Drosophila melanogaster: one gene and its partner. The protein of the gene in region 2 purifies or fractionates together with the protein of the main gene of each other region. This does not show direct contact. Each region holds a gene or a part of one and is shown on either strand. Other genes may lie near its edges. The genes, in order: CG17601 and Cdk9.

Region 1 (6,106 bases), on a different chromosome or scaffold from region 2:
CCACAATGCCTGTTTGTAGTCTGATTCAGATTGGCTCCGGCTGCGAAACGTCAACGGAACTTTAACGCATTGCAACTTGCAATGGCCAACTTGGCCATCCGAACGCTCGTCTGCCACGCCTATAAGCTCTCAGTGGTGACCCCTAAGAAATACAAAAAGATTCGCTAAATACCTAATAAAATAATTTTGAATTATTACAGAATGCTAAAGTGGAAATTTAGTTTAATCAAAAATAAGATGAGGCAAGATTAAGTCAAATTATATTTTCCTAACTTTTTCTTAAGATGTATACAATTTATTTGTATCAAAAAATTAAAAATGACAAATATAAAATTAAATAAATACAATTGCTGAACTAATTTAACGAGCATTATACATCTAGTTTTTGACAAAGATAAACAAAGAGAAAGACCATAAAAGCCACGTTTTCGAGCCCAATGCCAGACATTTGGATGCCCTTTTTCTTCCGCTGTTCTTTTTGTCACTCAGCTGCTGCTGTGTCAACTATTTAACATTTTATTTTAAATGAAATACAAATCTAAGCCATTTCTATCAGCGACTAGCAAAAGCGGAATTCAGTTTATTTCATCGCTTGCCTGCTGCCGATTAGTTTCCTCTGTTGCAGCATATAGACCGCGTCTACCGCCTAGCACCACTGCAGCCGTATCAGCAGGTTAGGCGGCTCTGGAACTCCTTGAAAAGGCATCTGTTTGTGAATCTCATTGTGAAATAAAAATATTCAGCACTTGGGCAATAACTTTATTAGTCGGGTAGCTCGGGTAGCCTTTGTTGGAGGAATAGAGAAAGGAAAAGTCGTTCCGCAATGTTCCTATGTTTATTGCTGCTGGCGACATTGGAGTCCTGGAAGGGTAGACAGATGGCTAATAAATGTCCAACTCGGCTGTACTTCGGCGTGAGAAGCGCAGACGGACAGAGCGTCGCCCGGGGCAATGCAAATATATGCACATGTTGACATAAGTACATGCAAGCCGACGCCGGCCCCCAAATGACGGGGCCAATGGAGTTAATAGAACCAGCTAAGATGACTTCGTTCGCCTCCCATCACCCAACCCCCGAGCCACGCCCACGCTGATATGACCACCCCAGCCCCCTGAATAAACACCAGGCAGTACCAATTTGGAGGTCCCCAAATACGAACATCAGCCCCTGTTTTCACGTGAAGTTTATGCAGAAATATGAACAAACTATTACTTTAATGATGTTTCATGATGTCAATATATTAGTTTATGAGGTATAGCATCCCTTTAAAATAAGTATGATTCACTGAGCCTCCTCTCTGTTTGGCACAACCTGTAGTTTGGATTGAAGTATACAAAGTTGGACTACAGTTGCATATGAGTCCCTACTTAAGATTTCATGATATATTAAAAAAAAAAAAAAAAAAAACCAATTTAGATACTCTGCGCGCCGTATAAACATCCGGAAAATCAGACAAAACTGGCGGTTGTGACGTGCAGGAAGCCTTTGAGCGTGACGCGTGAAAATTCGTCAAATGCAGGCCAAGTGACATGGGGAGCGACTGCATCCTTGGCATCCTTCGCAACCTAAATATGCACAAAGACTCAAGCATGGCCAAAAGCCCAAGCCCAAACCTAAGCCCAACAAGATGTGCCATGGGTGTGAGTATCAGTGCGCTAGTTTTGTGTACTAGTTTGGTGTGATGGTGCGTTGGTGTGTGTGGGTACGAGTGGGCTGAGACCTGGGGCGTGGCTAGGTTTGCTGTCAACTGAGGAGAAGGCCAAGGACCAAGGAGACGGCACACAGGACCAAGGACCCATGTGAGTGGCTGTCATCGCCGCGACTCGGGGCATTCATATGGTAACAAGCGATCCACACCACTTGTTTTGCAATTAAAAATCACAGACTGAACCGTATGACTGCCCGGAATGAAGCCTAACGTGGGACGGCTGCTTTAAAAAAGGTCTGGCATACCGGGCTATTCTACCAAAAAGCACTTACAGCGAATGTGGAAGGCCGCTAGAAATGTGTTGTTTAAAAAAAATTATCATTATCAATGGTTACAACAAGCGTCCTTAAAATAATAAATCTATTTTTACGGTAATTCATAAATCCACATATTTTTGCTGATTTATTTGCTTTAAGATTACCATTTTCCACGGCAATGATTGCAAATCAATATTTCATCATATTGATCATATCATATTCATATTCAGTTGTCATAATTAAAAAATGAATCGTCTAAGTATTTAAACGAATCCATTTTTTGTGTGTACAAATGAATGCAATGTGTATAAATCCAAGTCGAGTTCGACTTTATAGACCACCATTATTAGCCATTGAATATTAAATATGAAAAGGCTACGTTGCCTTCAAAGTCTTCAAAGTCTGCTGGTCCTTTTCATCTGACGGCCCCTTATCCTGCCCACCGTCTAGCTTCCTGTCCAAATTGCGATTCTTGGCATTCTGCAGTTCTTCTTGGTCGTAGGCCTCTATGCGCTTCTCCAGCATGTCAACCTCTAGCCACAATTGGGTGGCCGAGTTCCAGCGCGGCGGCGGGTCACCATTGATCTGGGCCAGCAGAATTTCAAGACGGTTACGATCCCACTGGTTGGCCTCTTCGCGGCGGTTGCTCACCACAGACTTCAGGTGGTTTATTTGCCGTTCTCCGGAGCTAGCGGTGATGACCCGATCGCTTGCGTCAGCGATTCGGTCGGCCACAGCCTGGCAAGACTTCTCATTTGGACCGGGGAGAAAATATGAGAATGTATCCGGACGCCGATTTATTGTTTCAGTTGCCAGTGGATTGATTGCCGGCATCAGATGGATGGCCAAGTACTGGGACGACAGTGGCTGCGAATCCAGCAGCTTGACCTTGTTCTCGACCTTTTTGCGCTTCGCCGGACCCTTAGCCAGGATATCGGTTTGGGTGCCAACCGAGCGGCAGTTGATGCGCTTAGTGAACTGCTCCACAGTCGCCACACTGCGTGATGCAATCCTCGAGATCCGTTTCCTTGGGGCCATAGCTGTGGTTATGACTATATGCAAACGTCTCTGAGAAAATAAGGTTAAAAGTAAGGTCACAACCTGATAGGGTTTGCTTTTAATATTTTTAATCTGTCAGTGGAAAAGAAAGGTGGAAACCCTACTAAGGCCAATCGGATAGGAACTTTTTCAATACATCACTCGTTAATTATATCAATATTTTATATATATTTTTCTTAACGCCTAACCTTTCAACGCAATGAAAACGGAAGTTTGAAAAAATATATGTACTCAACTTCCTATTGGCTGGGAAGCCCTCTTAACTGTCCAACGCTAAATTGTAGAGCTTCAATCAGCAGATACATACATACATACATATATGTATGTACAACACTTGCACCGATGAAAATCAAATAGAAAGCCTTTTTAAAAATTCGTTTTGGTATCCTTAAGTACATTTAAACATGTTGGTAAATGTAAACCTCTTATTTTACTTACATACTCTGTACATACCTGTGATGTTAAGATACAATATTATGATGTACGGATTCTTCACTTAATAAATAATAATTTAAAAAAAAACCTTACATACTCTTTTCCCATCACCTTTTTGCCGTGCATTGTATTCCAGTAGTTGCTGAGGAGATCTCCAGATTTATTTATTTGAACTCCTAATTTGAGGAATTTTATTTGGGTTGATCATTGATTAATAAGTCTATCATAAGCATGATCTGAAAATATATTTACATTCATATATTTTCTGATCATGCTTATGAACGAGAAAACTTGTAAATCTAACAAATTAAGCTGTCTGCCAATTTCACAGATAAATAACACCTGTTGAGAGCTCTTAGACTTCACACTATTACAATCAATCATTGATTTTTTTAGTTTCTTATACAAATAAATGTTATTGCACACACCATAGATACATATGTATGTGTAACGAGCGGGTTTTTGTCCAGAAATAATTTAACCATAACGAGATAGTCAATAACTAAACGGTATGATATCGATGCGAATAGAAGAGAAAAAAAGTTTGAAAATGCACGCAATAAGCAAAGCACGCGAAGTTTGTGAAAGCAATTGTAATTTCATAATGTTACTCAATTTTTGAGTACAAGGCCTCCAGCTACTGATCGGGTTTAAAATACATTTGTGTGCGCTATAAAATACAAAAAACAAAAACAGTTTGAGCACAACCCCTCAATTATTTAACTATCTGATACCCTAGTATCAGAATATGCGTAGCAAGACAAGGGAGAACGCTATGAATGAGTTCTCCGACTATCAGAAGATACACGTTAGTGGTTGGTTGGTTTTGGTATGTATTTATTCCTTATGCACCAAGACTATTACTTAGTAAAATCCGTATTCCCCATATTAAGCAAAACAAGAGTGTATGATATAATCGAGTTCCCCGACTATTAGATACTCATCGTTACTCAGCTAGTGGAAATGCGAATGGGAAATTTCATAATTTTTCTCGGATATCGATAGATATTGGGAAATAATATAATATTGGCAATTTAAAAGACTAATAATAATATGAAAAAGTATTAAAACATTTAGCAAACGTGTGGGCGTGACAGTTCTAGGCAGTTTGTGGGCGTTAGACTGGGCTTGGGAACATGGGCAACTGCACTGCGTCTACGTCTTTAGAATCTGTATGCTTCTTAACTTTCTTTTACCTTCTAGCTTTTATTGAAAAATAGATAGATTTCTGAGATCTCGACGTTCATACGGATGTCCGGCCGAACATGGATATATTGTATATTAGGAATATATATACAATATATGGTCGGAAACGCTTCCTTCTACCTGTTTCATAAGAATATTACTAAAAGGATATAACAAATTTAGTGCCGCTTTTAGGCATTTTGAATGTGCGCTTGTATGATTGAAACAGGGTTCATTCGACTTTTTAAATAAATAGAGTTTTATTTGGTTTTCATATCCATTAATTGTATAAAAACTAAAAAATTAGAAAATATAAATTCTTGATGAGGATCACAAGCGGAATCTTCCATCTGTCGATCAATATTAACTATAAGCTATATATGTACATATGTATATATGTATATACACTGTAAAAGCTAATGTGACACACACACAGCTCTAGTGTGTTTCAGAACGTCGTCTTGCCCACTATAACGCCCGCAAACTTCCCAAAATATCACACCATCGATAACCCAACAGAGTGTTGAATCTGTGCAATGATAAGTAAATTACAAGAACAATAAAGGATATATAGAAAAACTGAAATTTATGTGCCCAACAGGTCAATTTCAGTTGAGATAGTGGCGCCCTCTGTCGGGTATGCTTAATTTGTAAAAATCCCAATTATCGTATTTCAATAATTCGTTCTTAGCAACTCCTACATTTTTAATGGAATGGAAACCGCGCAACCGTTTCCCAGGTGAACCCCGTGCGACCGTCCACAGCAATCGAATGAATATTAGCCAAGGATAGCAGGGGGACACTGCGAGAAATTTCATATGGCAAGTGATAGTAACCTGTATTTGTTTAAGTATTAAAATAAAAAAACTAAAACCTATTTAAGTTAAAATTAATTTTATTTCGCTTTTATTTTCAGTTTCATGTATTGCTGTTTTTGAGAAATTTAGTACATATATCTTAATTCCTATTTTATGTAATATTTTCTTATTAAAATTCCGTTTAAAATTACCAACATTGTTGTTGACAATAATCTTAGTTTAATATTAATAATATATTTTAGAAATGGATCAATGTTTAGAGTTCGTTATCATATTTTCTCGCTATGCATTTTCCGTTACCTAGCAACCATCAATTTGGGATTCGGTGGCCCAAACAAAAGCTCCAACGACCACAACAAATGACGGTGTTGAAAATGCAATTGCCAGCGCAGCCGCAGCGATTGCAAGCAGCCAAAGAAAAACAGGTGAACTCGTTGGAAGCCAGGAATGTCCTTCAAGGATGTGCGAGGTGCGTACTGACTTCCTCCTCTTACTTCCTCCACCTAACACGACCAGACTGATACTCCACTTCCAGATCTGGGGGAACATCTTAAGCTGTTGGGGTTCCCGCGCGTGTTTCCCCTCCAATCCCTGGCCAATCAGCATGGCAGCCTGGCCAGTTTCCACATTGTTGCCGAGCTCCT
Region 2 (6,737 bases):
CTCTGTCGCAACCAACGGACAGGAGCAGCGGGTTGCAGCTTAGATACTTGCCATTGCCGCAACCAATGTCCAGCACCACAGATTGGGGCTCAAAGGAGTCCAGAAATTCAGATACTTGTGGCCAAGGCGTGTGCCGCGTTTCGCTGAAGTGATCCGCAATCTTATCGTACACCTCGTGGACGTTCTGTTGCTCCAGAGTGATGGCCTGAGCAGCTAGCGATGCGTGCAACTCCTGTGGTACCTTGGTTTGCTGTGTGTCGCAAAGCGCGGGGTATGAACAGTCGCAGGGACCTTTTCGCAGGCGTCGAAAAGTCAAAGAAGTTCTCTTGCCGCGGGCTTGAGTGGTCAAACCGCCAGATGCACTGGGTACCACATCAATGTGCTTCGGTCTGATGCCATGCGTCCAATCGTATCGAGCTTCACCCGACATTATTAGCAAGGATCGGCGCGGAAGTCTGACTTGAACCTGGTCATCTCCTCGGCGGAAGTCCATTACCACGTCGGATTGCAGGGACAGCGAAAGAATGGGATCCAAGAAAGCACTATGTGTGTCCACATGCGGGGGAATTCCATGACCGGGTTCGTATTCATTCACTGTCAGCTGGTCAGGAGAACTCCAGTCCCAGGTGGAAGCGAAGCTATTTAGTCGTGGCCATAGAATATCACATGCTGATGGTATCGACTGTTCCAGAGGCTTCGAGGGATCCACATTATTGGTGCCGTAAAGAAACTCAAAGCCGAAGTGCTTGACGTTTCGATGCTTTAGAGATCCCGTGACTTCGGAGGTTCTGCCATCCTCGCCAATGGCCCTCAACAGCGTTGACTCCTCCTCTTCGGTGACAAAGTCAGCAATTATGTGAAGGCCTCTGGGAAGAGGCTTGTTCCACTCACTTTTTCCCGCAAGTGCCGGTAGTTGCCTTATATAGCTAAGGTAGGCTACAGCTCCCTGTTGTCCAATGGTCGATATATTGTGCATTCCCTCATAGATGAGCTGGGAGTCTTCCAAGCTGGCACAAATAAAAAAACAGTACGATTTGCCCGGCAACATGACCACTTGGATGACTTTTCCACCGGTCGCGGCAGCCTCCGTGAGCAAACACTCCTCCGTGAGTCCATTGCTGAGTCCCACGTTGAGAACCGCCAGGTAAGGGGTGGGTTCAGCGCTTGGAGACACCTCGCAGTCACTTTTGATGATTGCCAGACATCTTCGCTGCTTTTTATCCGCCTTTTTGGCCTTGTTTACCTTTTGCTGTGTTTCCTCAACGTGCATCTCGCGGCCAGTGTGTACACCCCTTTTCAATGTTTTTCTTTTTGTTCTAATACTTAAGTCGATTGTGAATACCCTTTCTTGCAACTTCAAGTAATTGTAGAAACTTTGAATAAAGAATAATAAGAAGCAGAGAAACATAATGTAGGTATATTTGGAGCAAGCGCTAATGCAAATGCCAATATTTTTATTGTACACTAACCTAATAACCTAACGCTAGTTGAAGGTGAGAAACTATTAGTCGGGTGCGTACACCTCTGGCAGTCTACCAAACCCGGTCAATCATACTGTTGTCCTGGGGCTTCTGGTTCATGGTGGTCAGTTGCTGGTGATAGTTGCGCATCTGGTTGCTGCGGCGTGGCTGCGCCAGGTACTCGAACATGCTCTGCAGGTGCTGGGACAGCATCTTGCTCAAGTCGCTGGGCATGGGATCCGTCCAGAAGAAGTCGTGATTCAGAGCTGTGTCCGCATCGATGCGTTTCTTGGGATCAAGGGTCAGCAATTTGTCCAATAGATCACAGCCGGTTTGATCCTTGACATACGGACGCAGGCGCTCCTTGACTCGACGCTTCTGGTTCTTTGGCAGCTCGATGGATTTGTACAGCTCCAGCTCCTCCACTCCCGGCCACACGTCCGGCGTAAAGGAGCCGCATAGCTGCGAGATAAAGGTTAGCTGCTGCTGCTCCGTATTGCCTTGCATGATGGGCGAGCGTGTCCACATCTCGGCCATTATGCAGCCGGCTCCCCACATGTCCACGGGTGGACCATAGTTGCGGTCACCAAGTAGCAGCTCAGGCGGCCGGTACCACAAGGTTACTACGCGATTGGTATAGCGATTCTTACTCTCGTTCTTTGGAATGCTAAAAGCACGGGCCAAGCCAAAGTCAGCCAGCTTTAAGATGCCATGCTTGGTAATCAGCACGTTGGCAGCTTTCATGTCTCGGTGCAGGATCTAGTAATGCAAATGAAAACAGATACATACAATGTAAAACCAAAACTTTGCTTAATGACATGACTCACCTTGTTGCTGTGGATGTAATACAAACCGTTTAAAAGCTGCTGCATAACCTTCTTAATCTCGCCCAGACTGAACTTGACGTTCATGTTGGACAGAAGACCTGCCAAATCGTGTTCGCAGAAATCAAAGACCAAATAGAAGGTGGATCTGTAACCATTCGTGGCGGTGGCCTTGGTGCGGCAGATCTCGATCAGATTCACCACGTTCTCGTGCTTTAGCAGCTGCAGGATGCGGATCTCTCGCAGAGCCGTGATGGGAAACTAGGGGAGCACATATATAAATAAGGAATTCGTCTCTTAAGATGTTGCTTTTCACGCACGCCCTCCTTTTCGTTGTCCATCAGCACCTTCTTCATGGCCACAAACTTCTTGTTGCCCTTTTTCTCGCGAGCCTTAAAAACCTCTCTGTAATCAAAGGGGTCGTATGTTTTAGTTTAAAGTTAGTTTTCACCAATTTGGAGACTTACCCGAAGGTGCCTTGGCCAATTTTCGCCACCTTTTCGTATTTGTTGCTCTCGTCGCAGTAGGGAAAGTCGTAGTCCTCGATGTACTTTTGTTTCTCCATCAGGGACATCGTGCGCGATGAGCTGGAGCCCACGTTGGAGGGCGTCGACCCCGAAGGCTGCTGGAGCATGTGGGACATGTGCGCCATGGTTAAATTTGCCTCTATTTGTACAATTTTCACAATCACAGTTTCGCGAGAAGCCGACAGTCGAAAAGAAAGAAATCGGCAACAATTGGTGTTTCTACAGCTGTTGACTAAAGAAATACCGGTGTGCACACACTGTCAAGGCCTATCGATAAGAAATCGATGGGTCAAACAGCTGGGTAGTAATAACTTTTCGATTGTTGGTATACACTGGCCAAGTGATATAACCTAGCCAAAATTTGTCCAACAAATAAAAGCCGAATTAATGAATAAACTGTTGAATATAGCCCAGGCAGGGCATCGGCAGTTTGTCCGGGAATATGCATTCAAGTCGGACCTGAAAATCAAATGGATGCGCCCCGAGAAGATCGCGTGCTATAAGCCCGAAAAGAGCGGCGATTTAGCCAAGCTGCCTCCTCTGAAAGCCGACGAACTGCTGCCGGAATACAGGGACTGCAAGGAGTTGGATAAGTATGTTGCAGTATTCTCTCAATATAATAGTTTATTTACATCATCTCACCATTTTGTAGAGCCGACGAGTCAGTTAAATCCTTGTTCAAACTGAGCAACAACGCTAGTTACCTGACCACAAAATTCTATCGCGATGAGATGGTCAAGGAGGTGCAAAGACATGCCCAGGATTTCGGCTCAATGGAGGCCAAATGTATGTATCTTTGCAAAGTGCACATATAGCAGTTCCCCCCAAATTTGCCCTTCTTTTAGTGGCAAAAATGACTGCAGTTATCCGCCGCTACCAGGAGCACATGGACAAGCATCCGCGCGACAAGATGATCAAGGTGCGTCTCAAGGAGCTCATCGACAAACGCAAGAAGTTCCTCAAGTACTTGAGACGTTGGGATTATCCCCGCTTCGAGTGGATTCTCGAGAAACTCGACCTGGTGTACAAGCCACCGCCCACACATTTCCACTGGATCACCCGCAAGGAATCCCTCCAAAAGTTGACCGACATATACTGCGAAAACCTAAAGGAAGAGCGGCTAGAGGCTTACCATAAGCAGCTGCAGGCCCAGCAAATACCCTTCCTTGAGGAGGCCATCAAGAAGATGCAGTTCGTGCGGCAGGAACAGATTTCCTGCGATGTCCCCGTGACCGTGACAGAAGAGAAGATCGCCGACTCAAAAAGGCAGCTGGAAATGCTGAAGGAGCTGCAGCAGGCGGAGGCAGCCGCCAGCAGCAAGAAACAAAACGAGGATGGCTTCAATTAGGCCCGATTCTTTAATGTTACGGTGTCTTACAATAAATGTAAATGCTGGTTTTCTTAAATTATATGTTTTATTATACTTTAAGAGTTAGGCTGGACATCGTACCCTATGTCATGATCATCTGAGCGCATACTGGCAAATAAATAAGAAGGCAAGCATGATTGCCTTAGAAAAATGTGTAAAAACAGACGCAATTAAAGAGAAGTTCCTAAAGGGTACGGTTGCAGCTAACGTCTGCCCGACGAGGAGGTTTTCCGCCTGCCGCCGCTGCTGGAGCTACTCGAGCTGCTCGACGAAGAGTCGCTGGAGCTGGACGAACTGGACGACGACGAGGAGGACACGGAAGAGGTAGAGTCGCGTGAGGTACGCTTGCGCTCCTTGTCGCCATTGCCAGTGCCCTCTTTGCTCTTGACATCCGTGGAAGTGACTTCTTCGTCGCCCCAGAGATCGTACTTTGATAGATCCTCGTCGTCTCCCTCGTCGTCGTCCTCATCTTCTTCCTCATCATTCCGCTGCTCATCTCGGCTAGACCTTCTGGGCCTCTTTGAGTCCTCTCTATGCTCGCCGTGCTTTCGCTTCTTGCGACGACCGAACTCATCGTACTCGCTATCCGAATCCTGACGATCCTTGTACTCTACCACGCCGCGATCATTGTATCCACCGCCAAAGCCTTTAAAGAAACTGGTTAAGTGGGTTTTGAAGCAGATCAGGCTTCTACGGACTCACCAGTCCGCTCCTCCACATCCGAGAACTTAGGAGCGTTGCACATATTGCAGGTTTGGCGACGGGCCCAGTTCACATTCGCGCATTTGCTGCACTGCCAGTCCTCGGCGCTGAACAAGCCCCGCGACTTGTCGGCCGCCGCCTTGCCGATCTCGGTGCCCAGCTTTTTCTTGCTTGAGCTGCTGCTACTGCTGCTGCTCCCGTTGCCGCGTTCCCGCTCCCGGTCTCGATCCCTGTCGCGCTCCGGCTTATCACTGCCATCGCGGTCCCGGTCGCATTTGTTGCACTGCAAACGGCGGGCGAAGTTCAGATGGCGACAGCTGCAAAATCGAGGGAAGTGTGAGACTCGCAGGACTTCTCACTTGGCCGCTATCACTGCATCTTTACGGGCACTCACTCGTAATCTGGGCAAATCCAATCGCCAGGCGAAGCGACGCCGCTGCTTCCCGCGGCCCCTGATGCCACGCCTCCATTTGAACTGGACATGTCTGTGCCTTGGCTGCGTCCTCTGCCAAAGGATAATGCTAACGGGCGTCCAAGTGATCCTCCTTAGGCCTCAGGAGCAGCATTTAACAGATTTTTTTTACCAATATTATATTCTGTATACGGTACGAAATAAAGTGGTCAAAACATCGATACCGTTATCGATAGTCTGGCTTCCGATGCAACAATCGATAGGTCATTCAAATTGTATTTGGGGTACTCCAAAACTTATTTTGGAATTTAATTGCAATTCAATTGAAAATATTTGGGTAGGTAGGATTTCCAGCTTTCAACTTATTTGCGATAAATCGCAGGTTTCTAAGCTGTAAACATTTTCCTTGTAAAAATAGGCCACCAAAGGAGTACAAGAGATCAACAAAAGTTATTGACAACAATCTGTGATTATCGCCACTCTTCAAATAGTTTTGCATATAAAATTGGTCCAGAAACACTTCAATTAAACAACTATTGCACTCGCGCCTTTCCCAGACAATGAACCACAAGAACTTGTATACTTTTAGAGTTTTATTTCCTTAGTTTACAAACAAAAGCCGCTCCAAAAGTAAACACTGATTTTGTTTTGTCGGTTGTTGATTGGTTGGTAAAGAAGTTTGACTAACGCATAACCAGCAGCTTTTGGGAATAGCAGGCGATGCCCGCAGACGAGCTTTCCTCCATCAGGCTTACTTCTTGCCAGTGCCGATCTTGGCCTTGGCAGTACCGCGCACCTTCTTCATCCTGTTGCGACGCTCCTTGCGCTGCTTGCGGGTCTGCTTCTTCTGTTCGAAGAGGCCGTGACGGGCCAGGCGGTACTTGGGCTCGAACTTCTTGGCGAAGTCCAGGGTGTCGTAGATGAGGGCAAAGCCGGTGGAGCGGCCGCCACCGAAGTTGGTGCGGAATCCGAAGGCGAAGACCACATCGGGGGTGACCTTGTACATGGCGGCGAGCTTCTCGCGGATCTCGGTCTTGTTCACCGACGACAATCCTGGGTGGAGGACATCGCAGACCATCTGTTTCCTGGCGAGCAGGCGGTTGGTCATGAACTTGCGGGTGCGGATGGTAGCGGTTGTACCGGACATTTTGACGGAGCTGCAAAAGGATGGTAGAGGTTTAGCTTGGGCCTTTCATTCAAACAAAATGCTCGCCAGTCCGGATTGTTTTTGTCGCTTTTGAGCGACACAACATAACCTCACTGGCAGTGGGTGCTCCATGTCTCCACGTGTGACATGTTTCTGCGCTCATTCGCCGTCCACGGACACTGCCCTCAATCACGGAGCTATAAGCATTTTGGTGGCGGTCTTTGCCTGCATTTTTAGGCAGTTCTGAGAGTAATTTACCTTTTAAAACACTTGAAAAGGTTTTAAACACGTCGTTT

The links.
Region 1: the proteins of Cdk9 (region 2) and CG17601 purify together in Drosophila melanogaster (affinity purification with mass spectrometry, with the first as the bait; one large-scale study listed by BioGRID). This does not show direct contact.

What each region holds. Positions count from the first base shown.
Region 1 is NC_004354.4:22,544,027-22,550,132, reverse strand, and holds CG17601 (uncharacterized protein), read right to left. Parts: upstream 3,037-6,106; 5' UTR 3,004-3,036; coding exon 2,341-3,003; 3' UTR 2,077-2,340; downstream 1-2,076. Other genes in the region: Cluap1 (clusterin associated protein 1), read left to right, coding at 5,910-5,931, 5,998-6,106.
Region 2 is NT_033778.4:22,634,655-22,641,391, forward strand, and holds Cdk9 (Cyclin-dependent kinase 9), read right to left. Parts: upstream 3,074-6,737; 5' UTR 2,937-3,073; coding exon 2,752-2,936; intron 2,690-2,751; coding exon 2,605-2,689; intron 2,546-2,604; coding exon 2,288-2,545; intron 2,220-2,287; coding exon 1,533-2,219; 3' UTR 1,409-1,532; downstream 1-1,408. Other genes in the region: CG17807 (uncharacterized protein), read right to left, coding at 1-1,270; bonsai, read left to right, coding at 3,199-3,404, 3,464-3,597, 3,657-4,159; CG3732 (uncharacterized protein), read right to left, coding at 4,384-4,826, 4,883-5,199, 5,277-5,365; RpS24 (ribosomal protein S24), read right to left, coding at 6,046-6,441.